4 linked regions of the Elephas maximus indicus genome follow. The protein of the gene in region 3 purifies or fractionates together with the protein of the main gene of each other region. This does not show direct contact. Links are inferred from orthologs where the notes say so. Each region holds a gene or a part of one and is shown on either strand. Other genes may lie near its edges.

Region 1 (8,580 bases), on a different chromosome or scaffold from region 3:
TGAAGTAGGATGTACCAAAATAGTCTTCACTTCCCTCAAATAACCGTCCTCGCCTGCTCCAACCCGTGATAGATAAGATACGTAGCCAATCAGCAAGCAACCTTGGGCCCAGCCTACTCTAAGCCCAACCAATTAAAATGAAGATGGGGGATTAAGGCGGGGAATGGAAAACTTGCCCCCTGTTTTGGAGATATTTTGGAGAGGTACGTCCCGACCCCAGGAGCTTTCAACCAGAAAGCTCGCATATTGTATATCTCCTGAGCCCCAGTTCTATCCCACTTCGGCCCCACCCCAAGATGGGCCCCTACGCCTTACACTTCCTCCGTCCTCCCCCCTCCCGCCCCCTCGCTCCAGGGTTTCAGTAGAACAACAGCCACATTACTGAGGTCTTCCGGGAAGGAACCAAGTCCCACTGTCCCGCGCTTCACACGCTCCTCCCGGTGCCGGTAGGGTACGGGAAGGAGAGACCCTGCAGCCTCTGGCGCCAGTCTTTCCATTCAGCGCGTCTCTCCTCCCTTCCCCACGTTCCCGGGTCGGGGCTGACACGGGAGTGGGAGGAGCCGAATGCATTCTGCGTTTGGGGAGAGGCTAGAACTTGTTAAGGTGGAACAGAACAGTTGAGTGGGCCTCGAAACAACTGGAATGTCAAATCCTCCTGCCTCCCAACCTCGTTCCCCATACAGTTTCTCATCTCTAGTCCCCTAGCCTTAGTTCACTTCCTTATTTTTTTAGGACGAATACACATGTTAGGTAAAGGAAATAAAATTATGTAAGAAACAGTTTTTACAGATTATGCAGAGTACTCCTTTATGATTTAGTCTCTTATCTCCCGAGATAACCTTTTAACGTAGCAGCTAGAACTTTTCTGACGTGTCAGTGCGAGCTCAAATTGTGTTTGATAATATGCCTCAATGAATCATTTGTGTGTTGATTTAGTCTTTCCCCTACTAGATCTGACTACACCCATTAAAGGAAGCAAGGAGAACCCTATGTCTAGTGGCTGTGGGTTACTTCCTATTCCTTTTACCACTGGTCCCCTGACAAGCTGGAAGAGTGAAGGTGGTATATTGCACGGCCTTGCAGGGTTGACTCTGATTCAGTTTTCTCGTTTGTAAATGGGGATAATAATACTACCTCATGGGTTTAGTTTGAATACTAAAAGATATAGTGCAAGTGAAAGAAGCTTGTAATCTGAAAGCTGTAATTAACATAAGAACATAATGCATACAAAGCCTATAATCGTAAACACATAGTCCATACTATTTTCTAGACACCTTTTTTTACTGTATTTTTAAAAAACTTTATTTTACAAAATTTCAAATACATACAAAAGTAGTATTTTAAAACCCCATGCTGTAACATCAACACCTGGCCAATCTTTTTTCATCTACACTCCCTACCTAACCCCATAGGTGATTATTTTGAAGCAAAATTTCAGGCATTTCATCCCTACTTAAATATGCATCTCTAAAAGACAAAGATTTAAACATACACACACACACACACAGACACACACACGCAATACCATTAACACGCTTAAAACATAACAATAAATCCTTAATCACCAAATCATCAATGTGTTGAAATTTCACCAATTGTCTTGTAATATTCTTTCCAGTTGCTTTGTTCAAATCAGGATCCCCAAAAGGTTCATATATATTGCATTTGGTTGATATGTCTATTAAGCTTCTTTTGATTTCTAGGTTCCTCCTCTCTCAGGCACCTATTTAAGTGCATTACATGTATAAAGCCATATAACCCCTCCACAACACTGTGAAATAGGTACTATTATTACTGATGAGGAAACTGAGACACAGAGCAGTTAAGTAACTTATCCAAGGTTCCAAGTTATTGAGTGCTAAACCTGGGATTTGAATCCATGTAGGCTGTTCTTCTATCCACTATGTTTCATAAATGCTATGAAAATGTGTATTGTAGCATACTGTTGTTGCTAGGTGCCGTGGAGTTGGTTCCAACTAATAGCGACCCTATGTACAACAGTGTGAAATGTTGCCTGGTCTCCCGCGGATACTATGAAGAAGAGTTTTACTTAAGGTAGACTAATACTATGAAGAATTTTATGTTCCATTACAGAGAGGGTAGATTCTTATATTTTGATTCATGGCATGTTTTAATGTCAGTATTTTTATCCTGCTCCATATCACCATCCTTAATAGAAAGTAAAGGGAGAATGAATGCAAGTGCTCCCCTCTGTCTTAGGGCAAAACCAAACCACACAATGCTTATCAATTATTTCTAATTTTAAAAAGTATATAAGTAAAACCCATATGAACACTGATTATAGAGTGGACAATGAAATAAATAAAATCATCTTTAATCTCACATATTTGGTGCAATCCATCAATATATGTGTGCGTATATGTACATATATACATACATATACACATACAAGTATATATGCACATATGTATATATTTGAAAAAGCAGCTATATATTATACAAGCTGTTTTTTAATATTATTTTCTCACTTGAATATATTCACATATATGATAAAAATTGACTCTTTAAAATAATGCCTGGCTATTGCAAAATATCTAAACGGTAGGGAGCATCTATAAAAAGAAAAACAACTTCCCATTAATTCTACCTTCCAGAGTTAAATAGAATTACTCTTTTAAAAGCTAATAATATTATATAGCTGTATCATAATTGATTTCACAGTTACCTTATTATGGATATTTAGGTTGTTTCTAATTTTCTAGCTACAATTAATGCTGTAGCAAATATCTTGTATGTATCAAATAAATTCTTGAGCTTTTTATTTTTCCAGATCTCCAGGAAAGGATTTTAATTCATTCCTAGATTTCCCATCATACATAATAAATGCCAAAAAGAGTTGAACAATGAAACAACAAAGTATCCAACACACAGCAAGAAACACTTGCTGCCAAATCATTTTTCTGTAACAGCACATGGGAGAGTGAATGAATGCCTCAAAGAGAGGGAAAAATACAGCTTTAAATCTGGAACGATACTGGGAGGGTCATGAGGAAGAAAAGGCTCAGCTAGGCTTCACTGCTTTTGAGGATGACTTGCCTTTACCGGCCCAGCTCCAGTCAATGGCATAGAGGTTAAGAGCTGGGCCTTTGGAGCCATTCGAATTTAAGTTCTGGCTCTGCTACTCACTAATTACGTGAACTTGGACATGGTTATAGTCATAGTTTTTTCACCTGTAAATTAGGTATAATTATGTGAAAGCTGGACAATGAATAAGGAAGACTGAAGAAGAATTGATGTATTCAAATTATGGTGTTGGTGAAGAATACTGAATATACCATGGACAGCCAGAAGAAGGAACAAATTTGTTTTGGAAGAAGTATGGCCAGATTACTCCTTAGAAGCAAGGATGGCAAGACTTTGTTTCACATACTTTGGACATGTTATCAGGAGGGACCAGACCCTGGAGAAGGACAGTGAAAAAGAGGAAGGCCCTCAATGGGATGGACAGACAGTGGCAGCAACAATGGGCTGAAACAAAGCAACGATTGTGAGGATGGCTCAGGATGGATGGGGCAGTGTTTCATTCTGTTGTACACAGGGTCCCTATGAGTTGGAACCAACTCAACTGCACCTAATAACACAACATTGTATTGCTAGGAGCCCTGGTGGTGCAGTGTTTCAGTACTTGGCTGCTAACTGAAAGGTTGGTGGTTTGAACCCACCAGTCACTCTGGGGAATAAAGATGTGGCAGTTTGGCTTCTGTAAAGATGGACAGCCTTAGAAACCCTATGGGGCAGTTCTACTCTGTCCTATAGGGTCACTATGAGTTGGAATTGACTAGATGCAACAGGTTTTTTTTGGGGGGGGGGATGATGATATTGCAACAAAAGTTAAATGTGATAATGCATGCAAATTGCTTAGGTTTTTTTATGTCTGGTGCATTGTAAATATATGATTATAATATATGCATATAGCAAATAAAATGTAGTATTATATACTTAGCCAGAAGACCAAAGATTTTACTGTCTAAAGGTAAAATGCAGTCATTCAGCTGTAATCTTGAATATGCAGTCTTTCTTTGAATAAGGACGATATTTTTGCCTTCATATTATTTTATTGATAGAAAGTAAAGTGGTTGAGATAAGTTTAGTAGGCAGAGGATGGAATATATAAGGATTTGCATTGGAATAAAAGGACTCCAGGAGGAAAAGTGGAAGTGGGCCATTAGTTTTGTTTCTGGGTGAGGATTTTTCTGTAAAGACATGCCTGGAGCAGAGAGATGTGCGATGAGAACATTCTATACTCTGTGATACTCAGGATGAGGTTTGTTAAAAGCCTGTCAAGTGAACTGAACAACAGTCATATTTTGTTTCCTTTGTATACTGTACAGTTTAAAAACGATTTTCACATAAAATATCTCATTTGATACTTGCAACAGACTTAGTGGGTAGGCAGGACGAGTATCAAGGTCCCCTCTTTGCTAATCAAGATTTTAGACAACAAATGATCTTCCCAAGTTTACAAAGCTGAAACAAGGGGTAGGACTCAGATCTTCTGATGTTAGAGCCAACTTTTCTTCTATTACACACTCATTTATCCCTTTATGCTTTCATCATTCAACAAGCCTTTACCGAACTCTGGGATGCTAACAGGGTAACATTAATTTTGCGCCAGCCCCCATAACTCTGTGTGTGTTTGTGGGGGGGGGGAACAGAAGTCCATCAAAAACATTACTGAGGAGCTTCTAGGGATGTTCATCTGTATACAGAATACGACAGAACAACAACAAAAAGATCAAAGTACCAGAGTTACGGGGTATCTAAATTGGAATCAGTGACAGTTCAGAGCGCGCTGTGCACGCCTGGTGGAGACCAGTGGGTTGTCATTCCGGGTAGACGGCAAGCTGCACCAAGCAAAGAGGCTGTATGGTGGCGGAAGGTGAGCGAGGGGCGAAGCGCGCCCCGCTGGGCTGCAGGTTGCGGGCTGCGCTGCAGGTTGCGGGCTGCGCTGCAGGTTGTGGGCTGCGCAGCGGCGTCTTTCCCGGGAGCGTGAGTGCGGCCGCGCGGCTGTCCTGGCGGAGCGCGAACCCGGCGGCGCGGCCCGCGTCTCGGCACCGCCCGGTTCCTCCTTAACCCGCGCCGGGAGGCGGTGGCGGCGGCGGCCGGGCGGGCGGGGGAGGGGGAGGGGCACGGAGTGCGGCGCGGAGGCCGGGGAGGAGCCGGGGCCTGCAGCGGAGCCGAGCCGAGCCCGAGCCGAGCCCTGGCACGGTCCGTCCGCCTTCTGGCTCCCTGGGAGCCCCGACTGGCCAGAGCCCGAGAGGTGGCAGCGCGGGGAGCCCCACGCGCCGAAGGGAGCGGACCCGACGGGACGGGACTGGAAGAGGCGCTGCCGCCACAGTAGCCAGTACCGGGAGCCGGGAGCCCGGGCCTCCCGGACCCTACTGCCCAGGCCAGCTCAGGGAGAGCGGGGAGTACGAAAACCCCACCCTCTGGGACACCCCAGGAGCGGAGGTGGGAGCGGGGACGGGAGCATCCCCCTCCCCCTGTTGGAGAGAAGACCCCTACCACTGGGCGGGAGAAAGAAGAGACCCCTATATGGGACGCGTCTCTCCTTCCTAGAAGCGAGGAAAATCCCCATACTGGCCCAAGAGGAGAGCCCTAAAAGTAGAAACGGGTGATCCTTCTTAAAGGAAGCAGAGTGAGACCATCCCAGCGTGCCTTCACCCCTACAAACACACACTCTCAGCAGTTCAGGAGTTTTGAGGCAAAGAGAAAGAGGGAAATGCCTATGGAGTAGGCACCTTCCATCCTATCCAGTACTCACAGAGGAAAGGAGTCTTAACATTCAGAAGCAGAGGACACTCCAGGGAAAGAAGAAGAATCGGTTTCCAGCCATTCAGGAGAAGGGAAGGCCTCCCCCGTCATCCTCCTTGTACCTAGACAGTGGAACAGGGCAGAGCCCCTCCGTTCAGATCTCCAGCAGACAGAAATTGCCCTCCACCCGCGAAAGATCCAGTTTGGGGGGGAGGGGGACTCCCCCAAGGGGGAGGAGACAACTCCTGGTTGGGAGAGGCTCCTCCCCTCCTCCCCAGTGTAACAGGGAAGGTGTGGGGGGTGTGCCACCTTCCCCAGGTAGGGCCTCCTTCTCCTCCTCCTCCTCCCCCTCCTCCTCCTGCCTCCGCTTCTCATCCTTTGGGGACCCAGTTTCCCCCCCCAGCTTGGGAGGCTCAGCCAAGTACAGGAAGAGCCACTGAGGATGAGACTCATCATCTGCCTCTGAAGAGGGGAACCCCTCCAACCCCAAACTCCAGTACCAAGTGGTTCCCTCCCTTTGCTGGGGGGACCTTGGAGACAGGTTAGTGCTTTCTTCCATCTTCTCTCTGTCATCTTTAGGCACTAGTGGGTGTAGGAGGCTGAAGTGATGGCTCTTGGGTTTCATTGCTGGGAAAGGTGGAGTGATAACTCATACCATCCTCTGGGAACTGTGTTTTGAGGAAGCTTCTGAATTAGAACTCACATCTTGCTGCAGAGACTCTGAGAAATGGGTTTCTTAGTGTTTGAGGACTAAGGGGATGGGATTCATTTGAGGTCCCTAGGGAAGTGGATGTTTCCATGCTGAGGGCAGAGATGTCAGAAAATGCCTGCATTTTCAGAACTTCTTGCATATCGTGTATAATGATTGTCACATCCCTACCAGACTCCCACACACCCCTCCATCCTTGGCCTTTTCACTCTGAGAGTGGTCCTCACTAAACTCATGGCGGCATCTTGTGTCTTGGCCTTGTCAAGGGCCCCTGTTGGATTTCCTTCTCTCTCAGCTTAACGTTCACCAGAACTGTTCTTTCCAACCCATGGTGATTGGGTTGACAAGAAGGGCAGTGTGGCCCCACTCACCTTTTCTCAGACACCAAGAGGTCTCCTGTTATGACATTCCCATTTCTGGCTGGGTGCATGCCTCTACTCATAAAATCCAAAAGGAAGATGGACATCCTGCAGGTCCCGAGGTGAGAAGACTAAAAGGGTATAGGGGATGTCAGATCCAGGTTGAAGTTCTTCCCTGATGCTGGCCTTGCATCACTGCCCAAGTGCCTCACAGGTCTTCTGCCCTGGATAGAAAGAGGAGAATATTACACCAGCTTCATTCCAGGCTTCCATCTAAATAAGCTGACCACTAAGGAGATTTGGAGATTTAACCTCTAAGGAGCCTTTTGTATTAGAGATTCCTTGGAGAAAATCACCTAATAGTCTCATTTTCTTGTTCAATTTTGAGTCCCTGGAACCTTGTATTTAACTTTTCTCTAGTAAGATAGGAGTAGGAATCATCACAGTCCAGAATTTGCTGAAAAAGTAGGAGAAAGGTGCTAGGAAATTCCTCTAGCTGAGCCCAGGCTATGTTTTTAGCAGGGCTTTGAACCGGTTCCTTCCAGTTTGAACCCCTGCTGAGAATTTGCACTTCTAACAAGTCCCCAGGTGATGCTAACGCTGCCAGTTAGGGACCAATTCTGAGAACCACTAGTAGAGCAGTGGTTCTCAAAATTTATTATATATAGGAATCAACTGGGGATCTTGTTAAACTGTAGATTCTGGTTCAGTATATCTGGGGTGGAAATGCAAACTCTCAGCAGGGGTTCAAAGCTCTGGTTTTTAGTAGAGCCCTGCCTTTCGATTTTGGGTCACTAGCTGGGTGCTTACCTTCTTGCCTTGCCATTAGAAAATATGTTATCTTCTGCAGGGAGAGTTATATCCCGCAGTAAGGCCAAGTGGAAGGTTTCACCTTACTTGAGCTTTTATGTTTCTTCCTTCTCTGTCTGGACGGTGGATAGGCTGACGAAGCCCCTAAGTACAGCCATTTGGTCCTGGAATCTACCTGTTAGTAGTGGTATATGAGGCACGGTTATAAAGTGTAGGTTCTTTGGCTGTGGTATAGAACAGTGTGCGTTATGCTTCTCAATTCATGTGTCTGTGGCTCTCTGTCTCCGTGTTTGGAGGGGGTGTGTGTGCAGAGACAGGTATATCTGTGCTTTTCGGACTAAGCCTCCAATTAGAGGCCTAATGTATGTTTTCATTAGGCCTCTAGAAGCAGGTGACCCTGTGCAAGGACCTGGAGAAGATGCCAGGAAGAGTGTCCAGCTTGGGAAAAGGCTTAGCCTTCCCTTGGTCAGTGGGAGTGCTCATGAATGGCAGCTCGACATGCATCCTAAGCAGCAGGACAGTGCAGCCTCAGGCGGGGACCACCTTCGAGAGCTAATGAGAGAGCTTTATTTCTGATGCCTGTCATCTCAAAAGGCTCTTCACTCCAGGACCTCCTCCCCTGCCTTTTTTAAAGAGCCAGACTTGGTGTAACAGCGGCCTGTTCCTTAAAAACTACTTTACCAGATGCTGGAATGCAATTTCTTGAATGGCTTAGGGTGAACTGCATCACCACACCTCCAAGTATAGCACCACCATGCACTTTAACGGGCCCTGCTTAGACTGTTTCCTCACCTCTCTGCCTCTATGGAATCAGAAGCAGGTGGCTATTGGGTTAACAGTGACTTAGAGAGTGCTATTTTTCAGACCATGTCTTATGACTAAACCTAGTTCCCTCTGAAAGATAAGAGGTGATATTCTCCCATTTCT
Region 2 (8,383 bases), on a different chromosome or scaffold from region 3:
CTGTACATAGACCATGAGGCAGTTGTTTGAGCAGAACAAGGGGATACCGTGGTTTAAAATCAGGAAAAGTGTGCATCAGAGTTGTATCCTTTCACTGTACTGATTCAATCTGTATGCTGAGCAGATAATCTGAGAAGAAGGACGGGCATCAGGATTGGAGAAAGACTCATTAACAACCTGTGATATGCAGATGACAACCTTGTTTGCTGAAAGTGAAGCACAAAGACTATAGATGTGGCAGCCTGCATCCAAAATCTATATTAGTATAGATCACACCTTAACATAAAGAAAATCCTCACAACTGTAGCAATAAGCAACATCATGATAAATGGAGAAAAGATTGAAGTTGTCAAGGATTCCATTTTACTTGAATCCACAATCAACACTCATGGAAGCAGCAGTCAAGAAATCAAATGATGCTTTACATTGGGCAAATTTGCTCCCAAAGACCTCTTTAGTGTTAAAAAGATGTCACTTTGTGGACCAAGGTGTGCCTGATCCAAGCCATAGTGTTTTCAATTGCCTCATGTGCATATGAAAGCTGGACAGTGAATAAGGAAGAGGGAAGGACAATAGATACCTTCGATTATGGTGTTGGCAAAGAATACTGACTATGCCACGTACTGCCAGAAGAATGAACAAATCTGACTTGGAAGCTGTACAGCCAGAAAGCTCCTTGGAAGCAAGGATGGCAAGACTTCATCTTGGACATGTTATCAGGAGGGACCAGTCCCTGGAGAAGGTTGTCATGTTTTGTAAAGTAGAGCATCAGCGAAAAAGAGGAAGATCATCAACCAGATGGACTGATACAGTGGCTGCAACAATGGGCTCAAGCATAACAACGATTGTGAGGATGGCACAGGATCCGACAGTGTTTTGTTCTGTTGTACGTAGGGTCACTATGAGTCAAAACCGACTTGATGGTACCTAACAATAACTTTAGTATGAATCAACTCCAGAGTAATGGGCTTGGTGCATATATATCACATTTTGTTTATCCATTCATTTCTTGATGAACGCTCGAGTTGTTTCTACCTTGCGGCTATTGTGAGTAATGCTGCAATGAACACTGGTGTACATTATGTAAATCACCATTAACTCCTAGACAATAAAATCAGAAGAGAGTGTAAATGGGGAGACTGGGTAGGAGGAAAGACTCCTTCCTAAGACTTACTTCGATTCATCTTGCAACCAAACCGCCTTTAGTTTAATCTATTTTCGAACCCTATCCTTGAATTTTGGGACTGAGCTACAAATAGGTTTTTTTTCCTAGTTGAAAGAACATGTAATGACTAAATGGAAGTTCTGAATGGGTATTTTAAAAGTAGTAGGAACCCCTAATGGTGCAGTTGTTAAGAGCTCAGCTGCCAATCAAAAGGTTGGCAGTTCGAATGCACCAGCTGCTGCTTGGAAACCCTATGGGGCAGTTCTACTCTGTCCTATAGGGTCACTATGAATTGAAATTGATGGCAATGGCTTTGATTTTTTTAGGTTTTGTATGTGTATTTATTCACTCGATAAACTTCTATTTAGAGCCTAAAACAGTGCCAGGCATAGTACTAGGAGGAGCACTGGTGGTGCAGTGGTTAAAGTGATTGGCTGCTAACCCAAAGGTCTGCAGTTCAAACCCATCAACTGCTCAGCAGGAGAAAGATGTGGCATTCTGCTTCTGTAAAGATTGTTGTTGCGCAGTCAAGTGGGTTCTGACTCATAGTGACCCTATGCACAACAGAAGGAAACAATGCCTGGTCCTGCACCATCCTCACAATCATTGTTATGCTTGAACACATTGTTGCAGCCACTGTGCCAATCTATCCTTAAAGATTTCTGCCTTGGAAACCCTATGGGCAGCTCTACTCTGCTCTATAGGGTCGCTATGAGTTGGAATCTACAGCAACGGGTTTATAGTACTAGGTGCTGGTGATGCACGGATGAATTAAACACAACCCCTACCTGTAAGGAACTCATAATATATGAGGAAGAGAAGCAGATACACAACTAATTGTAATGTAACATGATAATGCTAAATATAATAAAGATCAGAATAAAGCACCATGGGGTAGTTGAAAGGGAAACAAGTGGTTTTGCCTGGGGGAGTTGGGGAAATGTCAAGAAAGACATTTTGATTCGGATCTTAAAGGATGAGTAGGAGTTCCATAGGCAAAGAATGGAATGGAAATTTTTATTTAAAGCAAAACTCGTTGCCATCGAGTCGATTCTGACTCACAGCGATCCTGTGGGATGGAGTGCTGCGCCACAGAGTTTCCAAAGAACACCTGGTGATTTCGAACTGCCAACTTTTTGGTTAGCAGTCATAGCTCTTAACCACCATGCCACCAGGGTTTCCTTATTTAGAACAAGAACAACAAAATTCATTCTAGATTTTTGACACTGCCTATTTCAGACTTAAAGCAACTTGAGTATAATTTGAGAGACCAGGACAAGGCTGCAGAGTTGGGAGTATATTTTCAGTAGGGAAGAAGACATTCTTCAAATAGAATCATCAATTTTACCAAATTGTAAAAATATTTAATGTTGCTATTTTTTTTTTTTATTTGTAGACATGTTATATACATGTGGAAATATAATTGTGTTGACTTTGGGTAAACTAAGGAAATTTCACTGAACAGGCAAAGGAACAACACATACAGTGACAGTAGTATTTAAAAATACTAAAATTTTCCCTTAATATCTTTTCTCTGATTTATGTGACATAAACAAACTACATAATGGTGTGAGAGACTATAAAGATTTTATTGCCACTTGTTTGGTATTGCCAGCATAACTCACTCTGAGAGTACCAGTTGTGGGCATCTCAAACTAAGTGCCATAAAACATTTATAGCATGCCACTCCATTTCCTACACTTTCCATAGAGACAAAACTTTAGTGCTCACAAAAGTACTCATAAATGTAATAGTAATGAAAACGTTTTTGTTTTATTTAGATTATAGATTTCAAGTCTGCAAGAAGAAAATAAATGTTGTAAGGATGATTTATGTTACTTCTATGCAGGATCTCAGATTATCAAATTCCTTCTCCAAGGAAAGCCACTTTTCAAAGGTAACCTCAGTAAATGCATACGGGAATTAGCATAAAATTGGCAAGGTCACTTGTATCTACATGTTGAATTCATTTGCAAATAACAACTACTCACTTCCTTGCTTCTTCACTCCAGGACCAGGCTCCAAGCATCACAGGTGCAGAAAGATTTACAAAAAGGAATGAATGGAAACAAAAGGATGTAGGCTCCAGGAGGAAAACAATCTCAGGAAAGATTAAGCCAAACTCGGAAGGAATAGCAGATCCAGTATCAGTTAAATGGGTATTAACCAAGTTTAAACTGCTTTTAAAAATCGGTGACCAGAGATAGTGTATCAAGTTTATTAGGCCTTCTATTATGTCTGTCTGGTTTGCTTAAACTTTTGTTAGGCTTATCTTGAGGGTGAGATTTCTGTGCTGAGCATATATTAGGTGTTAAACTAATATTGATTTTTTTTTTAAAGGGAGGAGATCTTTAAAGTAAATATAAATTTTACTGTTATTTTTAACTTTTTAATTTATGACTTAAGGGCCAAACTTGACAAGTTCTATGATTCCGAGTGCCTCTATTCATTAATTATTAAAAGAAACACAACCTTGATATACAATAGAAGAATCTCAAATAATCGTTAAATTACCACACACCAAACAGCTTGGAGGTCAGAGAGGAAATGTTTGGGTAGAGGGTCCTGCTTAACTTCCAAGTCTTTAAACAAAAAGCCCTCACACCAAGTGTGCATGGCAAGTTTAAATTTATTGTAATTAAAGCCATCCAGATGGTGGTTGGATTAATCAATGAAGAGACAGTATTTATCTTGGGATAGAAGATTCCGAAATCCAGAAAGAGAAAATCCCCAAGGTGGGGGTGGGGAACAGTTAATAAGAGCCCCTGGGAAAGGCCCTTTCAACGAGGACTGGAAAATAATACGTTTGAATTTAAATCTCTTTGAATATAAACTACCCCTAACAGCAGGAAAAGGGTCCTCTATAGCCCAGCAAGCTTTGGGCAGGAAGGGAGTAAGCGGAACTGTAAAAGAGCCTGCTCAGCTGTTTCTGGTTTGGGGCTAAGCGCTGAGAAAAATCGCAATGTGGGAACTGAGTATTTGAGTCATTCAAGATAACTGGAAGGGTCAAATAACGAACTCCTTCCAAAGCGTTGACAAGGCACCCCCTCTGCAGCACCCTACCCTGAGTTTCCGCTCGATTTTCCCTCCCCGCGCGGGGCGAGCCCCAGGCGCTGCCCCCTCCCACGCAGGGCGCGGCGATTGCTGACAGCTCCCCTCCGAGCTGCCCAGAGCGGGAAGTCCGCGACCCGTGAACTACGGCCTCGCCAGCCGGGCAAGCGAGCGTCCTTCCTCGTCGCCAGTGCCGGCAGGGCCGGGAGGCCTCGCGCCTCCGCCGTGCCGGCTGCTTCTCAGGAATAAACCCGCCGGGCCGCGGCCTCACCGGCCGCCCGTCTGGCCCGCGAGCCGGGAGCGCGGGGCGCCGAGGGGAGGCGGGGCGAGGCCGTGGGGCGGAGGGGGGCGGGAGGTGCATCCTGGGAAATCCACCAACATGGGGCGAAGCGGCCGCCGCCGCCGCGGGCGCCGCCGCGAGTCCCGGCTGCGGGCGCCCCCACTTCCCTGACGCCCGGCTGGGGCCTCGCCGCCTGCCCCGGCCCCGGAGTCCCCGGCACAGACGCCCCAGCGCGCCGTCCGCTCGCCCGCCCGCCAGCCCGCCCGCCCGCCGGGGCCATGTGAGGGGGCAGCTCCCTCCGCCGCCGCCGCCTCCTCCTCCCCCCGCCCCCTCCCCCCCCGCCCGTCCCCCTCACACAGGGCCCGAGAGGAGCCCCCAGTGCCGCCCGCCCTCCCGACGCAGCCCCTACGATGGACAGGAACTACGCGACCTCGGGCTTCGCCGACCCACCGCCGCCGCCCGCGGCCCCCGCCGCAGCCAGCGCTGCCGCACAGCCCCCCGCCCCCGCCTGGGCCTACGAACCGGGGGCCGCCGCCGCCGCGGCCAGCAGCAGCAGCAGCTGCAGCAGCGGCAGCAGCCCCAGCCTCAAGGCCAGGTAGGGAGGGTGGGCAGCGGGGTCGCGGTGGGCCAGGAAAGGCCGGGGATGCGTTTGGGGCCTTCGCGCCGGTGCAGCGCCGCCCAGGGGTCCGGGCCGGGCGGAGAGCCTCCGCTCGCCTCGCCCCTCGCCGGGAGAGGCGGCTGATGACTCCTCTGGGGTGGTCCCGGGCTGGATGGGGGAGCCCAGTGCAGGATTCGCGCCTGGGGCTGGTCGGGGAGCGCGGGTGGAGGGAGGGCTGGGCGGGAGCTGTGGGGCTCCGTCACCCTCTGGGGTCCTGGGCTCTCACATGGTGAAGTTTGGGCTCGTGGCTGAACTCGGCGATCGGGGAGACCCGGGACTGGCTTCAGGGAATCGAGGGGGGCGCCCGGGAGTTCCGGGCAGTGATATTCCATTGTATTGGAACCTGAGTGGCCGACAATGTGGTCTTGGGGCCCCCGGCGGTGTGAGAGTGGGGGAGACGGGGAGAGGAGGCGCCTCCAAGCCCAGTCGAGCCCAACTGTGTCCCTGACAGTGGGAGACCCGGGAGGAATGAGCTGCGGGAGAAACCCCGGGGCTAGGCGGGGCGCGAACGCTGTGCCGGGGCTGGGTGACATATGTTTGCTGTGGTGGCCAAGAGAACGAGATTTCTTTTCCACGCGTTCAAAGTTACTCTTGGGTCGTCCCCCCCCGCCCCTTTTAACAACAGCAGGAAGTAAGGAACCTCTCTTTTCCTTCTGTGTCTCGAGGTGACCAAGAGTTGGGAAGGTTTTGGGGGGAGGGTCAAGGAAGGCCATAAAGGTTGAAGAACCAAAGCATGCTTCTGCATCTCCGTTTCTGAAGCCCGGGTTCATTATGTAGCGCGGAGTTCAAGAGTTCATCTTTTCTCCAGCATGACCAAGGAAATCTAGAATGTTGGCTCTTACTAAATATTTAAGGTCGTGAAATATGTGTAGAAGTACCACACTGTGAAACGGTCCCATTTGAATGATAACTGGAAGGCGTGGTCTGGTTTGGAGGATTTGGGAGCGGGGTGTTTTAAAGCCACCTCTTCCGAACAATACTGAATCTGGTAGGTGCAGCTTCTGATTACAAGGACCGGGGAATCCTGGGTTGCTAATGACTTCATCCTCAGTTACCAACAGGAAGCTTTGTGGCTTTATGATCTCATCCGATTTCTTCATTATTTTCAGAAAAGTGAACTTTTTTTTTTATTTTATATATTATAGTGTTTTAGGTGACTGCTTGTTTTTAATTAAAGTTTCTGTGTTCATGATTTGGAAAATATGTAGCTGGCCTTTGTCTTAGTTTGTACCTTGGAATGACTGTGAATGAGAATGAGAACAATTTGGTTCAATAAAAAGGAAAATGTAGCTTTCGTAGAAAATTTTAGGGCCTTTGTTTAAAAGAACTGGGTTAAAAAAAAAAAAGTGATATGCCATTTTGGAGCTAAATTGATCGCTGAAACCCTTCAGAAACAGCCATTATTTGGTATTATATAGAACTAAAACATTTTAAGGAGTTTTATGAAAGCTACTTGGCCCTTTAGTTATTTCCTTTTGGTAGTAATTTGACTATCATTTTTCAAGGAGCTTTTGCATTGAATATGATAATTTACAAATTAAAATTACTCTTCAGTGAATATCAATGATAGGTATTTGTGCAGCATTTTTTATATTTTAGATGTAAAATGTTTTATTAGGTAAATGAAACAAATGCAACCTAGTTATTTCTGTTATTTCTTTTAGCAGAGTACTTCTGAGGCAAGAAACTAAAATCTACTTGTCATATTTTCCAAATGTTATTTATCAAAGTAACACAGAATGACTTCCCAAACACATTTGAAAACAGTAAGTAGATTCATTTGGAACACATAATCTAAAAAAAGATTGATTTTTTTGTTTATTGGAAGTAATTGATACTTAAATGCTAACCCCCTCCAACTCCTTTATAAAAAAAAATATTTTTTGGGGTGGGGTCAGCTGAATTGCAGTGTAGGAAATGCAGGCTTTTCCTCCTCTCCCCACCAACCTGCTTTGTTAACATCTTGTGTTAGGATCAGGCCATCTGTACAGGGCTGCACACATTTCTTAATTGTACCTCATTTTATTCCTCAAACTGCAAATGTCCTCTTTGATTTCAGTTATATAAAAAATACAGAATCTGAAATATGTCCTGCAAATTTTTAAATATTCTGCATTTTCAGAAGCTTCTTCATATTTGTATAACATTTATAAAAGCTTTTTCATAATTAATGTAGCAGTTGAATGTTTTTGTTCCCCTTTGTGGCAGTTTCTTCTGAAGGTGCAAATGAGTACTAGTTGTGATGATGTAATACAGATACTTATCCATAAAGAATTAGCTTGTCTGTCACCTTGTTTCTAATAACCTCTTCAGAAGCTGACAGATGGTAATGACATGCAGTTGTTACTGACATGGGATCTAACAACCTACCTTATGTCTTTGATCCTGAAATGAAACATTTTCATCAGTTGGTGGGGAGAGAGCGTGGTAAACAATTCTTCATGAGTTTTGAAGCAATACTCTGGGATAAAACGGCTCCATCAGATATCAGGTGTTTCTGTTGTTTTAGCAGTTGAAAAATAATGAGCCAATGGGAAAACCCAGCATTTTATCTTAAATAGTGTTTGCTAGGTACATGAAAAGTTCAGGTATAAACATTGCTTATATAAATGTCCGTTTATTTGTGCTTGTCTGAGATTTAGGTACCAAAAGAACATATCCTTTGTCTATCACCATGCAGTTGGAAATAATTTTTGTGGGGTTGTTTTAGATCCTGTAAATACCCTTGCAGCTTTTGGAAGTAAAACGATGGTCAGGAAGCATTAAACTGCAGACTTACTGCCCTTTTTTCTACCTGATATTTATATCTTTTGCAGAACAGGAAGAGACAGGCTGTTTCATTATAGTGATGGATGTCGTGTTTGCATTTGAATACACCCGAGAGAGTGAATGGAAATACTTTGTTTTTAGATTTATATTTGATTGTTGGCCTTTCTAACTTGAAACACAGTCTTACTTTTTGCCGCTAAAGATAGTTTTTAGAATTTCCTAATACATATGTACTTTCTTTTTATAGTATGAATGTGTAATATATGTGATAGGTACTCCTCCAAAAAGACAATGATTAGCTTCTCTAAAAATGGTCAGCTTCCATATGAAGGGCGGTTGTTTGAATACATTTTGAATTAAGTTTTAAATCTAGAGTTTCCCTCAAGGCTTTTGGAAAAAAACTTTGTAAGATCACAATTTGTGAGGAGCAGGGACATCCTAAATTCCCAATGCCATCAAG
Region 3 (6,724 bases):
GTATATTATTTATATGTGTGTATATATATATATATATATATATATATATATATATATATATATATATATATATATATATATAAAAACATGGAAACCCTGGTGGCGTAGCAGTTAGGTACTATGGCTGCTAACGAAGAGGCTGACAGTTTGAATCTGCCAGGTGCTCCTTGGAAACTCTATGGGGCAGTTCTACCCAGTCCTATAGGGTTCCTATGAGTCAGAATCGACTCCACAGCAGTGGGTTTGGTTTTGTTCAATATATATAATATATATATGATGAAGTCACAGAAAATATCCCACATGAACAGAATAGCAAAAATGCTATCAACAAATCAAATTCAGCACTATATATTAAAAAAATGTGTTCTCATTGCGTATTTACAGATGAGGGCCAGAGATGTTCAGTGATTTCTGCAAGGCCATGCAGCTGGTAGGTGACCCTACCTCTACCTGATTCAAAACCCACACTCTTCCCAATGCAATGGCATCCTAGGTGGTGAGGGCTGGCTTTGCAGTGGAAGGAGTTGTGATGAGGCTCCTGGGCGGGGAACAGCCAGCCTGGGTCCCTTGTGCAGGTTCCAGGCTTGATTGGGACAAGGTGCAAATGCAGAGTGTCCCAGGGGCCTGGTCTAGGGTCCTCTGCCCCGACTTCCGGCTTCCATAGCCCCGACCTGCCTCCAAGTTGCTACAATGAGCTCTCCCTCCACCGACTTACTTCCCCAAGTCCCCCCCCACCCCCCTCCTTGTTGCCAGGCCATTTTGCTGGTGGCAGGCCAATGGGTGCAACTGTTGCCTCTGGAGGCGGCCAGCGTTGCCAGGCAGACCCTTACCATGCAGGTCCCGGTGCCATGACAACACGGACGTCTCCTTACGTGCTCTCCTGCTGCGCCCCCCGCACTGAGACACGAAGTCGGCCTGCCTCCGCTCCCCGGGGGCTTCTGGGAAAGCCGGGAAGGCCACGTGGCCTTGGCGAAGAGGATGCCGGGAGGCACGCGGCTGAGGCGCGTTTCCGGATCTTTCTGAGGGGGTTCTGGAGGGGTCCGCGGCCGGAGGCGCCGTTTCCCCAGGGTCGTGGGAGCGCACGCAGAGTGGTAGGAGGTGAGCGCAGAGGGCCTTCTCTGTGGAGGAGCCGGGAATGACCGAGCCCTGGGTCAGGTTAGGGCGTCGCCGGGCGGGGCCTGAGGGGACTGGCGGCCGGAGTCTGGGTAGAGCACGAGGCGGCGTGGGGGACCGGCAGGCTCGAGGGCTGGCTGAGAGGGATCCCCGGTGATGAGGGCCCGAATAGGGTGCTGTCGGAGAAGGGAGAGAGGGGTCCCGGCCGCAGGGCTGCAGATGGGGGGGAGGACTCCCGGCCCGGAGGGTTGGGGGCACGGAAGGGGCAGTCCAGGTTGTCGGGCGGAGTAGGGCGTGGAGGGGACTCGCGTGGTCTGGCGCTGAGGGTGAGGGGAGGGACGGCCTCCTGGCTACAGGGAGGGGTAGGGCGGGGGCCCCGGGGGCTGAGGGGGGGAACTGGAGGCTGCGGCGGGGTGCGGCGTGGTGACCCCCGGTTGTGGGCGTCTGGGTGGGGCTTGGGAACGGGTCTCCTAGCCCACCAATGGCGTTCCTCTTCCAAATACGTGTGCCCTCATTTCCGGCTCAGGGATGTTGGGAGGTGAGGTTTTAGGTCTGAGGCGGCTGGTTTCAGGTCAGCAAATGGAGGGGTCCCAGGCTCTGCTAGGCTGCAAAATGAGGACCTGAAGGAATACTGAGAGAACCCCAGCCCTGGAACAGAGAGTACCCCAGTCTCGTCAGACCCCTGCTGTCAGCCCTGGGAGATCCCGAGCAAGGCTGTCAGGCAGAGGTGTGGTCTCCCACTACTTTCTTCTCAGGGGTCTCAGGAAGATGTCAGGAGTAAAATATTTTGCGGTTATTGAAGATGCCCCCTACCCTACATAAAGGCCCCCTCAGTGGCTCAGCCCCTGCTGACAGCCCTGGGAGACCCGCTGCGGGGGGGGGTGGTGTTTCCTGACTTCCGGCTTGGGAGTCCGAGAGCCGAGGCTGGTCTGAGGGGTTTCAGCCTTGGATCCAGGCCTGGTCAAGCCTCCACGTGAGGATGAGAGAACCCGGAATCTCAGAATATAGAGCCCCCCCCCCGAGGGACGTGCCCCTTCTGTTAGTCCTAGAAGACCCAGGAATATTTCAAGGACTGGGGCTTCCACTCAGTTTTGCCAGTACCTGAGGGGCGGCGCATTGTCTGAAAGCGGTCTCAAGCACCAGAGGGGAGGGATCCCGGCCCTGCCAGAAGTAAAGGGAAGGACTGAGGGGACCCCGGGCCTCAGAACAGAGGGGTCCCAGAGAAATACACCTCTGCTGTCCGCTCTGGGAAACCCCAGCTACCCCTTAATTCGGCCCCGGGGTCTGAGGTAGGCGGGACGTGGTCTTAGCGGGTTATCTCAGATCATAGGAGAAGAAGGGGCTTTAGATCATGAGAGGGGAGGGGTCCAGGCCCTGGCAGGAGTCAAGTGTAGGACTGGGGGAACCCCGGGTCTCAGAACAGAGGGGCCCCAGAGAACCTGCCCCTGCCATCAGCCCTGGGAAACCCCAGCTACTCCTCGATTCGGCCCCGGGATCTGAGGGAGGCGGGACGTGGTCTTAGTGGGTTATCTCAGATCATAGGAGGAGAAGAGGCTTCAGATTATCAGAAGGGAGGGGTCTAGGCCCTGCCAGGAGTCAAGTGGAGGTCCCTGAGACAGGAATAAGGGGACCCGATGCCTCAGAACTCTCTGGAACCCCATAGAATCCGCTCTTTTCTGTCAGCCCTGGGAAACCCTGGACAAGAGTGGCTGAACGTGATGGGCCCTTATTTCACCTCGGGCGTCTCAGGGAGGTGGGACCTCGATCTGAGGCAGGACGCTTCAGGTCGTCTAAAGGGGGGACCCAGGACCTGCCAGGTGTCAAGGTGAGGACCCTCAGGGAGGGCTGAGGGGAATTCTCCACACTCACAGAAACTGGCCCAGCCCCCACTGTCAGACCTGGAGACCCAGGACATGGCTGTAAGGCTGAACCAACTCCCACATTTCTGCTGAGGAAGATAAAGGTCTTGAACTGAGGGGGCTGGGCTCAGGTCAGCAGAGGAGTCCTGGGCCCTGCCAGGTGTAAGGTGAGGACTCTGAAGGAAGACTAAGGTGACTCTGGACACCATAACGCTGCTACCCCCACCCCTCGCCCATGCTCTCAACCCTGGGAGATGGAGAGGGGGACAGGGGTGGCCTGCTGTGGTGTTTTCTTACTTCCGCCAGAAGGAGCTCTCAGGGAGGCTTGGTGTGAAGGTTAGCAGAGAGAGGAGTCCCGGGACCTGTTAGAATCCTGTTAGGACCCTGAGGATGAATTGAGAGCTCCTCCCACCCTATACAAAGGGGACCCCACAGAATCCCACCCCTGCTGTCAGCCCTGGGAGACCCCAGTTAGAGGTGGCTTCATGTGGAGCCTTCTCATTTCTGCTTTGGTGACGTCAGGGAGGGCAGAATCTTGGACTGAGAGGTGGGAAGTCAAGTCAGTGAAGGGAGAAGTCCCAGGCCCTGCCAGGAGTCAAGGCGGGGACCCTGAGAGAAGACTTAAGGGACCTTAGACTGCAGAACAGAGGAAACCCTGCAGAATGCCCGCCATAATCTTGCTGTTCATCATGGGAGGACCTAGTCAGTGGTGGTTAGATGTGGCCCCACTCACTTCTTTGGAGTGAGGGGGATGAGGGAGAGAGGTCTCAAGGAGATGAGGCTTTGGTCTGAGGAGGTCCACATACAGATGTGCAAGCACTTACACGAGTAAAGATGAATGTCCTGAGAGAGGATTTGAGGATATCCTCATCTTAGAAGTAATGGGCACCAGCTTTGCCCTGCTCCTTCTTTCAGCCCTGAGAGGCCTTGAGTAGGTGTGGTTAGTGGGGACCCCTTCTCCTCCTCATAGACCTCAGGGATGTGATTTCTTGTTCTGAGAGTCTTCTCTCAGATCAGCAGAGGGATGAGGACCCTGAGTGAGCACTGAGGAGACCGCCAACCCTGGAAAATGGGGACTTCCCAGAGTCCACTCCACCCCTCCCGTGAGTGCTGGGAGACCCAAGACTGAACTTGCAGTCAGCATCCTCAGGTGCCCCTCAATTCCTCTTTCAGGGACACAAGGAACCAGGAGTTGAGGGCCTTGGTCTGAGGCACGTGTCCTCAGGTCAGCAGAGCGGAGAAAGCCCAGGCACTGCCAGGAGGCAAGGTGAGAACACTGAATGTGTACCAAGGTCCCACTCACCCAAGAAGAGAGGGAACCCCACAGCCCCTGACCCCACCCACCCCACTGTCAGCCCTGGAAGCCCTGGCTACACCCTGAGGAGCCGTGTCGTTTTCTCCTTCAGGGCCTTAGGGGACAGATAGACAGGAGACGTGTGAGGCCTTAGAGAAAACTTGTAAGTTGGCCTTTGTTGGAGCCATGAAGGTTGAGTTTCATAGCTAAGGCCACTCATACTCTCCCTGCCTTTCCCACAGGCCTTTAGGCTCCCATCACCCACCCTCTTCCTTTAGGGTCCTAAGGGACAGGGTGACAGGAGACCTGTGAGGCCCTAGAGAAGACCTGTAAGTTGGTCTTTGTCAGAGTCGCCAAGGTTGAGTTTTTCAGCTGAGGTCCCTAACACTCTGCCACTGTCTCCTGCAGGCCTGTGGGCTCTCACAGCCCACCCTCCTATCTGCACTCCCCGACAAGAGTCACCATGCCTCGCCCATCAAAGCGTCGGCGTTACATGTTTGAGCAAGACCTTCAGCCCCAAGGTGGGACGCAGGGCCCAGAGGGAGGGCAGTTTCTTGTGGCTGAGGAGGAGGAGGCCTCCTCCTCCTCCACCTGCTCTTCCTCTTTCCCCTTGTCCTCTTCCTCCTCCTCCTGTCCCCTGAACCTAAGCACCCCAGAGGAGGTTTCTGCTACTGGAACACCCAGTCCTTCCCAGAGTCCCCAGGCATCCTGCTCCCCCTCTGCTGCCGTTGCAGCCAGTCTGTCCAGCAACTCTGCTGAGGGCTCCAGCAGCCCAGGGGAGGGTCCAAGCACTTCACAGGCCCAGCCAGATGCTGAGGCCTTGCTCAGAGAAGCAATAGATGATAAGGTGGCAGATTTGGTACAGTTCCTGCTCCTTAAATATCAGACGAAGGAGCTCACCACGAAGGCAGAAATGCTGACCACAGTCATCAAAGAGTACCAGGACCACTTCCCTGTGATCTTCAGGGAAGCCTCGGAGTGCATGCAGCTGGTCTTTGGCATTGACATGAAGGAAGTGGATCCCACCAGCCACTCTTATGTCCTCGTCAACACACTGGGCCTCACATATGATGGGATGCTGAGTGGTGATCAGGGTGTGCCCAAGACTGGCATTCTGATACTTATTCTGAGCATAATCTTCCTGGAAGGCAACTGTGCCCCTGAGGAGAAGATCTGGGAAGCTCTGAGTGTGATGGGCGTGTATGTTGGGAGGGAGCACTTCATCTACGGGGAGCCCCAAAAGCTCATCACCGATGACTGGGTGCAGGAGAAGTACCTGGAGTACCGGCAGGTGCCCGACAGCAGTCCTGCCCGCTATGAATTCCTGTGGGGTCCAAGGGCCCACGCAGAAACCAGCAAGATGAAAGTCCTCGAGTTTTTGGCCAAGGTCAATGGCAGTGACCCCAGATCTTTCCCGTTTTGGTATGAGGAGGCTTTGAGAGATGCGGAGGAGAGAGCCCAGGCCAGTGTTGCTGCCACGGATGCCACTACTGCCATGGCCAGTGAAAGTGCCGGGGCCATGTCTGGCAGCTTCTCCTGCCCCAAGTAAAGTTTCAGGCCATCCATTACTCTGTGTTTGAAGAGGGTGGTCACAGTTCTAAGTAGTGGAGGGCAGGGGCGTAACATCTTTGTGTTCCTGTTTTGTAAGGGTGACTTGTAGCCTTATTTCTTTTTCTTGTTGGTGTTTTTCAAATGCTGTTCTCTTGAATAGATAAGGTTTAATTAGTTTCAGAATCTAAGTTTATCGGTGGCATCGATCACACATTTATTGCTTTTTTTGTGTTTCAAGAGTAAGAATTTTGTTATTTTGTAAAACAAATTGGGAAACCTTATATCTCATTCAGTGATTTGAACCAAGATAACATGGCATTGGAACAGGAATTTCTTTGGAAATGTGAAGTAACTCAGCAGTAAAATAGAAAAAAGATTTTCGGATGCCTTTATTCTTTTTAGTCTGTTATTGTGTAACATTAAAATATATGTATCTGGATTTGCTTGGCTGATTCATGAATGTAGGAGAAATTAAACTTTAATAAATGGAAGCCCCTGCTCACTGGCTCATTTTTTTCCCCCAAACGTGAATTGAGCATCTGCTGTTTGGGAGACACAGTGTTGCGGGGGGACAGGGAGAGGTCCTCATAGGATGGTAGTGTCCAGGAGCAGCAGTCATACAGGAGGAGGGTACCATGTCCCCTAAGACCTGCAGGCCCAGTACAAGAGGGTGTGGGGAGCTGGGGTTCCAGGGGGGAGCCGCCACGAGTAAATGCCCTAGTCAGGGCAGCTCAGGGCTCTGGGAAACTACAGTTGCCCTTGTGAAGTTCACTGTAAGAAAGGTGGTGTGACCAAGTGGCCTGAGTCTAAGATGGTGTCTTTGAGGAGAGGCAGAAGCCTGGATGGAAAACTGCTCTTGATGGGTACTTCTGGGTCCTGGAGAAGCCAGAGAGAAAGCTCCAGCTCA
Region 4 (7,812 bases), on a different chromosome or scaffold from region 3:
GATGTCTCAGGAGACCCAGAGCAGGAAAGCCTTAAGCCTGATAGCCCTGCATTGGTCCAGCTTGTCTGTATTGTATCTAAGGCACTGTGATCAGGGATAATTTTTATCCTGGGCTCCATCCACTGCCAACTGTCGACATTTCCCTCCCACCCCCTCTCACCTCCATCTGAATCAGGAAGCACAAGCCTATGCAGATGACAACAGTTTGCTGTTCATGGAAACATCAGCAAAGACTGCAATGAATGTGAATGAAATTTTCATGGCAATAGGTAAGTTGCCTTTCATCAAGGGCACGTCACTTGGTTGCTGTTCTGTAGTAGGTCACCGGGGGTCCCTTCACTATTCTGATAAAATAGTCTTCTTCAGCTAATTCCCCGATGTAGATCGTTCGCCCCAGAATTTTCTAAAGCCTGGGCCAGCGTTTCAGCATTTTACTCCTTCACACTTTAGCTTGCTGCCCATTTCAAAGACTGTCATCACCATCCCCCTACCCACTTCTTAAGATTTTTTTTAGTGCCTAGGCTCTGGAGTCATCCCGCTGGGTTCAAATCCTACCTCTGTGGCCTTGGGCAAGTTATTTAACCCCTCTTTGCCTCAGTTCCCTGAAACACTCAGAACATGCCTGGCACGTAAAAGCCTTCGGTATGTGGTTTATCACTGATCGAATGGTGAAGGCCAGATTCTACTCGAGTAGGATTAGGAGAGAGTATTGGGTATCCCCCTCAAATGCATTTTTTTCTCCTCCTGTCTCAAACAGCTAAGAAGCTTCCCAAGAATGAGCCCCAGAATGCTGCTGGTGCTCCAGGCCGGAACCGAGGCGTGGACCTTCAGGAGAACAACCCAGCCAGCCGGAGCCAGTGCTGCAGCAACTGAGCCCCCCTTGCCTGCCCACTGCCCCCACCTCCTCCGCCTGTACGACCCGACTGGAATCCACTCTAACCAATCGCACTTAACGACTGGGCCACCGCTGGGGGGGCAGGGGGAGGGCTCCACCATGATTTCTCCATATGATTTTGGTCATAGGCCGGAGTGAGCTATTCCACCTGCACCTTTCTGTACAAATACTAATTCAATTTTAAGTCTTAAGTCACTTTTTTAATATATATGATCTTCTGCTCTTCCCACTTCCTTCCCTTCCTACAGCTCCCCCACTTTTCCTTTGCTGGTAGTAGCCACATGCTCCTGTGCCCCCCACCCTTGTATATGGGGGCAGGGGGCTGGAGCAGTTACCCTTCCTTTCCTTCTTGCTGAATAGCAGACTCAGCAAGAGCATCCACACCCTTTCCTTGTTTGGAGCGGGCTTCGTCTGAGGTGGCCGGCAAGGCCCTGGAGGCTAGGGAATGAGAGCAAGCTCTTCCTGCAGCAGGCTGTCATCAGGCTGCACCCCCCGCCCCCCCAGCTGGGAGAGAACCCACAACATTACTACAGTTACTTATCACACGTTATTGTGACAGCCACGAACCCATTGCCCACCCCCACCCCCTTGGTCACCCTGACCTCTGGCTCTGAGCCCTGTTCTGACCAAATCACGATGAGTATTTGGGGGTGGGTGGGTAAGGGGGGGAGTGGGGGGGATGGAACCAACTTTTTCTGTATTTTGTATTGTATGTTTTCTTCAACATGTAACCAATCAGTATCTTGTCAATATAGTCAGCCGATCGATCGACCTCGCTCTTGTCTTGTCTTTCTCTGGCAGAGTTTATCAGACCATGCCCTCTCCAGTTTTCTTGATGTTAATTTAAAACGAACCACTAATCTTGTGAAAAGCCTTTTTTTCCCTAATGTGAGGGGATGCTGGTGGTCATGGTAACCAAGAGAAAGAGGCCCTTACTGTTAGCAGCTCTTAGCGGGTAGGGATAGGGCCAGACTGACCTGGGGCTGAGTCTCACCGAGTTTAAATTGAGGGTCCTGCCTTGGCCTCCCCGTCCAGCATAGATGGTGGTGCTGTGCAGTCTATATTTGAAGATTGTTGGCTTCTGAAACACCAGAAGTGGCCCCTTTGGGGTTTTTGGTTGTCTGTGTCAGGCCTGTATGGGACTCTCACCCTCTTCCCTGAGGAGGGACATCGATGACCTCTACAACTTCCAGCCGGTCATAAGGCCAAGGCTGCCACACCTGGCTTTCCTCACCACCTGACTTCCTCACCACCTGTGTCCCCACAGCACCACCCCCCAAACACCAGGGCCAGGCCATCCTGTCCCAGTCTCTCAGGGCCCTCTGTTCTTTCTGGAGCCAGGTGAAGCTTGGGCACTCTGGCCCTCTGCTGCTCCCTGCCGGAGCCAGAGCTCAGACTGCCACAGGCTGGGGGCTATCGCCCTAGCAGTGAAATGAGCTGAGTAGGGCAACACTGCCCTCCAGCTTCCAGGGCTACAAAGGCCTTGATTCTTGGCGGATCCCCACCTTGAGGTGTCTCCCTCCACCTGCAGCTTCCCTATCTCTGACCTCAACCCCCAGAAAAGACCACGGACACCAAGGCTGCTGCACACCGAGGTTGTTTACTGGCTCAGGCTAGGTTGGAACCGTTAGAGCTGAGGCCCCTGAGTCTGGGAGACGGCCCTATACGGGCTTCCGGGAGAGGCGGCGCCCAGCACTGGCTTCGGACACACAGCTGGCCAGAGGGGGTCAGGCAGCAGGTCATGGCGGAAGGATCTAGGTCGGGCGGTAGTTGCACTTCCCGGTGCACCTTCCGCGTCATGCAGAAGCTGCCCCCGTCTGGGCCACAGCTCTCCAGGTGCTGCTGGCCGGTCACCATCAGGCGCCCGCTATCGACCCGCACGTCCAGCTCCTCCGGGGTGAAGCCGTGGGCATCCACCTTCAGTTGGAAACCGCCCTCTGCGTGGTCCTCCTGCGCAGCTGCCAGATGGTCCCTGAGTAGCTGCACCGGTAGCCTGGCCACTTGGTTCTGTTCAGCGAGGGCCACGCTGGGACGGCGGAACGCCGCCACCTGCTTCTCGTTGGAGAGGCCGCTCCCAACCCGCTGCATCGGTGTGAGCAACTGCTGTCCAAGCGCGTGCGCCCCGAGCGCAGGGCTCGCTCAGAACTGGGCAGAGGCGCGAGGGCGCCTACGAGGTGCAGCTCCGGAGAAAAGGACTCTCCTGCACTAAGCGTGGTTGGCTCCCCTCTGCTCTGTTCAGTTCAGCTCGGTCCCCTTCACTTCCGCAAAGCGGCTGCGCTCGGGTGAGATTCACTTTGGTAGAGTTCGGGGCCAGGTATGCTCATCCTACCCCCAAGGGTCAGGTTGTCAGCTGCCTTGGCGCTTCAGCTCCTGTTTTCACTCGGGATCCTGCCCCTTTCTAGGGCCCTTCCCCACCTCTGTCAGGGGGCCAGGGAAGGCCAGAGGCTGTGACTGAACTGGACCTGCCTGAACTGCGGGAGCCCCAACCTGGAGCCTCAGAAGCGCAGACCCAGGAACAGACCGAACCTCCGGGCTGCGGGGAGGCTGTCTTGATCTTCCAGGAATCAGGCCTGGGGACAAGAACTGCCCCCAGTGGAGTATGGCCTTTCCGGGTCATCCATTCTCTAGATGTCCTGCCTTTCCCTGACCATGCACAATGGCTTCTCTCCCACACCCGTGAAGATTGGTAGGTGGATGAGTCTTTCCGGCCTTTTATTCCTCCAGTGCTGGGCCTGCCAGGTGGCACAAGGGCTGAGCCCTAGAACCACAAAGATGAAGACATGGGCCCTGCCGTCAGGAACTCACAGTCTGGAGGAGAGTTTCCCGCAGAGTCGGTCCAGTGCCAGGGAAAGGCGGCCGTCCTCCTCTGCGGCCACTTCGTCCCCACCCCAGTAGCCTTCTTTGTAACCACAGCCATGCCTCTGGGACTCAGCATTTTAAAAATAAACTCTTAATGAAATATACACAAAAGTGCAAAAAAAAGTGAACACTCTCACGTAACCATTACACAGCTAATAAAAGGGTTACTAAATTTTAATCTCTTCTGGAGCGGCCATTCTGTCCCCGGGAAGACGTTTGGGGCAGGGCCTTTGCCGAGGGTGGGGTGTAGGGGAGAGAGGTGTGCGGTGAAGTCAATGCGACCTTCGGGCTCTGAAGGTAGACAGAGCCCACGATTCTGTTTTCTCGAACGCTCCTCCTTGTCCCTAAGAGAACAACAGTCTTGACTATCGCGGAAGGCTCCAAGAGGGATGAGAAGTGAAGAAGGATGAATCTGGGCCGATCTCTCGTGCTTTACTTGGCTGCCTGGGTCCGGGGTCCAGGACAGAAAAGTCTGGAAGCTGGAGGCAGAGGGGAGCGGCGATGGAAGACTACAATTCCCATCATGCGCCAGTGCAGCAACGCCTGCGCACTGAGCGCCGTTTGCCCATGCGGCCCTAGGGCTGGGAGCGCCGCGCCGCTCTCCTCTGTGGGGGAGGCCATGGCGGAACCTTCCCAGGCCCCGACCCCGGCCCCGGCCGCACAGCCCCGTCCCCTTCAATCCCCAGTCCCTGCCCCAATTCCGGCTCCTGCCCCCGGCCCTGCTTCAGCCCCGGCTCCAGCTCCCACTCCGGCACCAGCACCCGCCCCAGCTGCAGCCCCAGCCGGGAGCACAGGGACTGGGGGACCCGGGGTAGGAAGTGGGGGGACCGGGAGCGGGGGGGATCCGGCTCGACCTGGCCTGAGCCAGCAGCAGCGCGCCAGCCAGAGGAAAGCGCAAGTTCGGGGGCTGCCGCGCGCCAAGAAGCTCGAGAAGCTAGGGGTCTTCTCGGCTTGCAAGGTGGGGGCGGGGCCTGTGTTGAAAGGGGCGGGGCCTGGGGCATCCAAGGGTTTGGGTGGGAATGGTGGCAAGCTTTGGCAGGGGAGAGGCTCCTTGCCCCTGGGTATGGGGTCATTCACTGATCCTTCTGCCTTCAGGCCAATGAAACTTGCAAGTGTAATGGCTGGAAAAACCCCAAGCCCCCCACTGCACCCCGCATGGACCTGCAGCAGCCAGCCGCCAACCTGAGCGAGCTGTGCCGCAGCTGTGAGCATCCCTTGGGTAAGGCATGCAGTGCCCTCGGACGTTGGGGAGGGGGCTTGCTGGCCCCTGCTTGGACAGGGTGAGTTAAGTGCCACAAAGCTTCATCTCTGAAAAACCAAAGATGCCTTCTCAGGAGGGCTTAGGTTGGGCATGTATATGCCTCAAAACAGGAGAAAGGAAATGGGGCTGCCCAAGGGCCTGTGTAGAAGCAGCCAGTCTCCTTGGCTGGTCACTCTGGTTTGAGGGGCTGAGGATGTATCTTGGCTGGCTACGAACAGGGGAAGGAGGCCCCTGTAGATTTTTTCTACCCAACCTTCCCAACTCTACCACCTGTTCCCTTGCAGCTGATCACGTGTCCCACTTGGAGAACGTGTCTGAGGATGAGATTAACCGGCTGCTGGGGATGGTGGTAGACGTGGAGAATCTGTTCATGTCTGTTCACAAGGAGGAAGACACAGACACCAAGCAGGTGTATTTCTACCTCTTCAAGGTGAGCTTTCAACGAATGAGGGAGGGTTTATGAAGGAGGTGAGGCATGGGGCATTTGCAGCTCAGAGCTCTGCACACTGGTACTCTGCCCCTTTCTCTTACCTCCAGCTCCTGCGGAAATGCATCCTGCAGATGACCCGGCCCGTGGTGGAGGGGTCCTTGGGCAGCCCCCCATTTGAGAAGCCTAATATTGAGCAGGTGGGATGGGGAATGTGGTAAGACAAGAACTGGGGACACCTTGGAGAAGTGGGGAGCCTATGTTCTTCATCCTCCTCAAGTTGAGTATGGGAGAGAGGTTCAGAGAAGGAAGAATGTTTTGTGGGTAGGGGGACATAGTTTATCTTTGCACAGAGCCCCATAGTGAGAGGAGAGCTTTGTCTCTGCCCTCAGGGAACACCTGCTTTTGGGTAAGAAGCCCCTGCTGGCTGCTCATGCCTCAAGCCCTGTTTTGTCTCCTCCTCCTCCCGCTCCTTCTCAGGGTGTGCTGAACTTCGTGCAGTATAAGTTCAGCCACCTGGCTCCCCGGGAGCGGCAGACGATGTTCGAGCTCTCAAAGATGTTTCTTCTCTGCCTTAACTACTGGAAGCTTGAGACACCTGCCCAATTCCGGCAGAGGTCCCAGGCTGAGGATGTGGCCACCTACAAGGTCAATTACACCAGGTAGGCCTGGCCAGGGGTAGCATGTGGAGAGGCGTGTAGGCCCAGCCTGGGCTTAGTGCTTTCTGCCCTCACCTGCCACTTCCCCCACCTGCACAGATGGCTCTGTTACTGCCACGTACCTCAGAGCTGTGATAGTCTACCCCGCTACGAGACCACTCATGTCTTTGGGCGAAGCCTGCTCCGTTCCATCTTCACCGTTACCCGCCGGCAGCTGCTGGAGAAGTTCCGAGTGGAGAAGGACAAGCTGGTGCCTGAGAAGAGGACCCTTATCCTCACCCATTTCCCCAAGTAAGGTTCATTCTGGCCTCTCAGGACCTTTTCTCAAGTTCACTTTGCTGTTGTCCCCTTTTTTCTGGGATGCCTTCCTGGAGTGATCCCTTCTCCCCCTCCATGAGTCTTCTGGGATCTGGGTGCCCCAGCCCAGACCCAACCTGCTGATATTTGCCTTGTATATGCTAGTCTGGGGATGGCGGGGATGTGGCATGAGTGCTAACGCTACCCCTCTCATGGCGGTAGAAGACATTACTAGTTGTTTCTGCAAGGCCTGGACACAGCCTTAGACTAATCCTTCCCCCAGCAGCACTCCCAGAAACCAGAGTTTCCACCTGAAGTGAGATTGATTTCCATCCCTTCTTAGTTTTTTCTGTAATATCTTCCTCTGCTCAGCCTTGTTTTCTTCCCATTTAAGTCTGGCTCCTAACTCTCTTGTTCAAGAAGCTTTTTTTGACTAATCCTGGCTCCCCAGAGCTCCTCCTACCACCAGGTGGGAAGAAGTGGCAGGAAGGGGTGGACTCTGAGCCCCACTTTGACACTGAGGGGACTGAGTCTCAAGGTAACTCAGTGTGCTGCTTGGCATACACACAGGTGGCATCTGTGCAGGCCCTGTCTCCCTGTGTTCTTTTCCCTGTGCTGCCCATCGTGGCAGGAAGTGGGCCTCTTGGATCTCTGCCTTAGAAGTGTTTTATTCTCTTACTTCAGATGGGGGCTCCCAGAAGGCAGAGGGCTGCTCCTTTCCCTTCAGACTAGGGCTTCACAGAAGGTACAGGGTGTCTCCTCTCTCAGGCTCTCAATTCCCTGAGAGCATCTCTGTTTCTTTCCCCTGCCTCCTGCCCCTTTGGGTGCCTGACCCAGGGCTCCACCCTTGGTTGGAGGGATAGGATTGTGGGACCGACCTTGCACCCTTCCCTAGATTCCTGTCCATGCTGGAGGAGGAGATCTATGGGGCAAACTCTCCGATCTGGGAGTCCGGCTTCACCATGCCACCCTCAGAGGGAACACAGTTGGTGCCCCGCCCAGGTTTGTGCTCCCTGGCTCTCTGCTTGCCTTATTGGCTGAGCCAAACACCTCTGGGAGGAGAGGGCCGGGAATGACAGCAGTGGGGAATGCAGGAGGGCCATAGTGTATCCGGGGGTGGCGGGCCTGGATCCCTTTGAGAAGCCTGCCCACGACTCCAACCCCTGTCCCGATTTTTCTGTCCCTAAGCTACCGTCAGTGCAGCGGTTGTTCCCAGCACCCCCATCTTCAGCCCCACCATGGGTGGGGGCAGCAACAGCTCCTTGAGTCTGGATTCTGGAGGAGCTGAGCCCATGCCAGGTGTGTACTTAACCCCGACCTCTACTATGTACCCCTGCCCTAATCTCTTGCTGCCCCTGGGATACCTTGCCAAACCCCCAGCAGGTGAGAAGAGGAAGCTTCCAGAGAACCTGAC

Evidence for each region.
Region 1: the proteins of melanoma-associated antigen 10-like (region 3) and FOXJ2 purify together in Homo sapiens (affinity purification with mass spectrometry; 3 studies listed by BioGRID and IntAct, counting the BioPlex papers as one, with this or other methods). This does not show direct contact. The link is inferred for Elephas maximus indicus from reciprocal best matches to the Homo sapiens genes MAGEA10 and FOXJ2.
Region 2: the proteins of melanoma-associated antigen 10-like (region 3) and QSER1 purify together in Homo sapiens (affinity purification with mass spectrometry; 3 studies listed by BioGRID and IntAct, counting the BioPlex papers as one, with this or other methods). This does not show direct contact. The link is inferred for Elephas maximus indicus from reciprocal best matches to the Homo sapiens genes MAGEA10 and QSER1.
Region 4: the proteins of melanoma-associated antigen 10-like (region 3) and KAT2A purify together in Homo sapiens (affinity purification with mass spectrometry; 3 studies listed by BioGRID and IntAct, counting the BioPlex papers as one, with this or other methods). This does not show direct contact. The link is inferred for Elephas maximus indicus from reciprocal best matches to the Homo sapiens genes MAGEA10 and KAT2A.

Annotation. Positions count from the first base shown.
Region 1 is NC_064822.1:65,288,735-65,297,314, reverse strand, and holds the start of FOXJ2 (forkhead box protein J2), read left to right. Parts: upstream 1-5,167; 5' UTR 5,168-6,316; intron 6,317-6,322; exon of another isoform or gene 6,323-8,580.
Region 2 is NC_064825.1:88,066,617-88,074,999, forward strand, and holds the start of QSER1 (glutamine and serine-rich protein 1), read left to right. Parts: upstream 1-4,846; 5' UTR 4,847-4,906; coding exon 4,907-5,091; intron 5,092-5,105; exon of another isoform or gene 5,106-6,920; intron 6,921-6,929; exon of another isoform or gene 6,930-8,383. UniProt on the Homo sapiens protein: Plays an essential role in the protection and maintenance of transcriptional and developmental programs.
Region 3 is NC_064846.1:4,211,555-4,218,278, forward strand, and holds melanoma-associated antigen 10-like, read left to right. Parts: upstream 1-4,729; coding exon 4,730-5,815; downstream 5,816-6,724. UniProt on the Homo sapiens protein: Not known, though may play a role in embryonal development and tumor transformation or aspects of tumor progression.
Region 4 is NC_064837.1:49,073,164-49,080,975, reverse strand, and holds the start of KAT2A (histone acetyltransferase KAT2A), read left to right. Parts: upstream 1-4,326; 5' UTR 4,327-4,373; coding exon 4,374-4,712; intron 4,713-4,849; coding exon 4,850-4,973; intron 4,974-5,299; coding exon 5,300-5,445; intron 5,446-5,552; coding exon 5,553-5,642; intron 5,643-5,922; coding exon 5,923-6,104; intron 6,105-6,200; coding exon 6,201-6,392; intron 6,393-7,293; coding exon 7,294-7,400; intron 7,401-7,586; coding exon 7,587-7,812. Other genes in the region: RAB5C (ras-related protein Rab-5C), read left to right, coding at 176-269, 758-873; HSPB9 (heat shock protein beta-9), read right to left, coding at 2,504-2,983. UniProt on the Homo sapiens protein: Protein lysine acyltransferase that can act as a acetyltransferase, glutaryltransferase, succinyltransferase or malonyltransferase, depending on the context.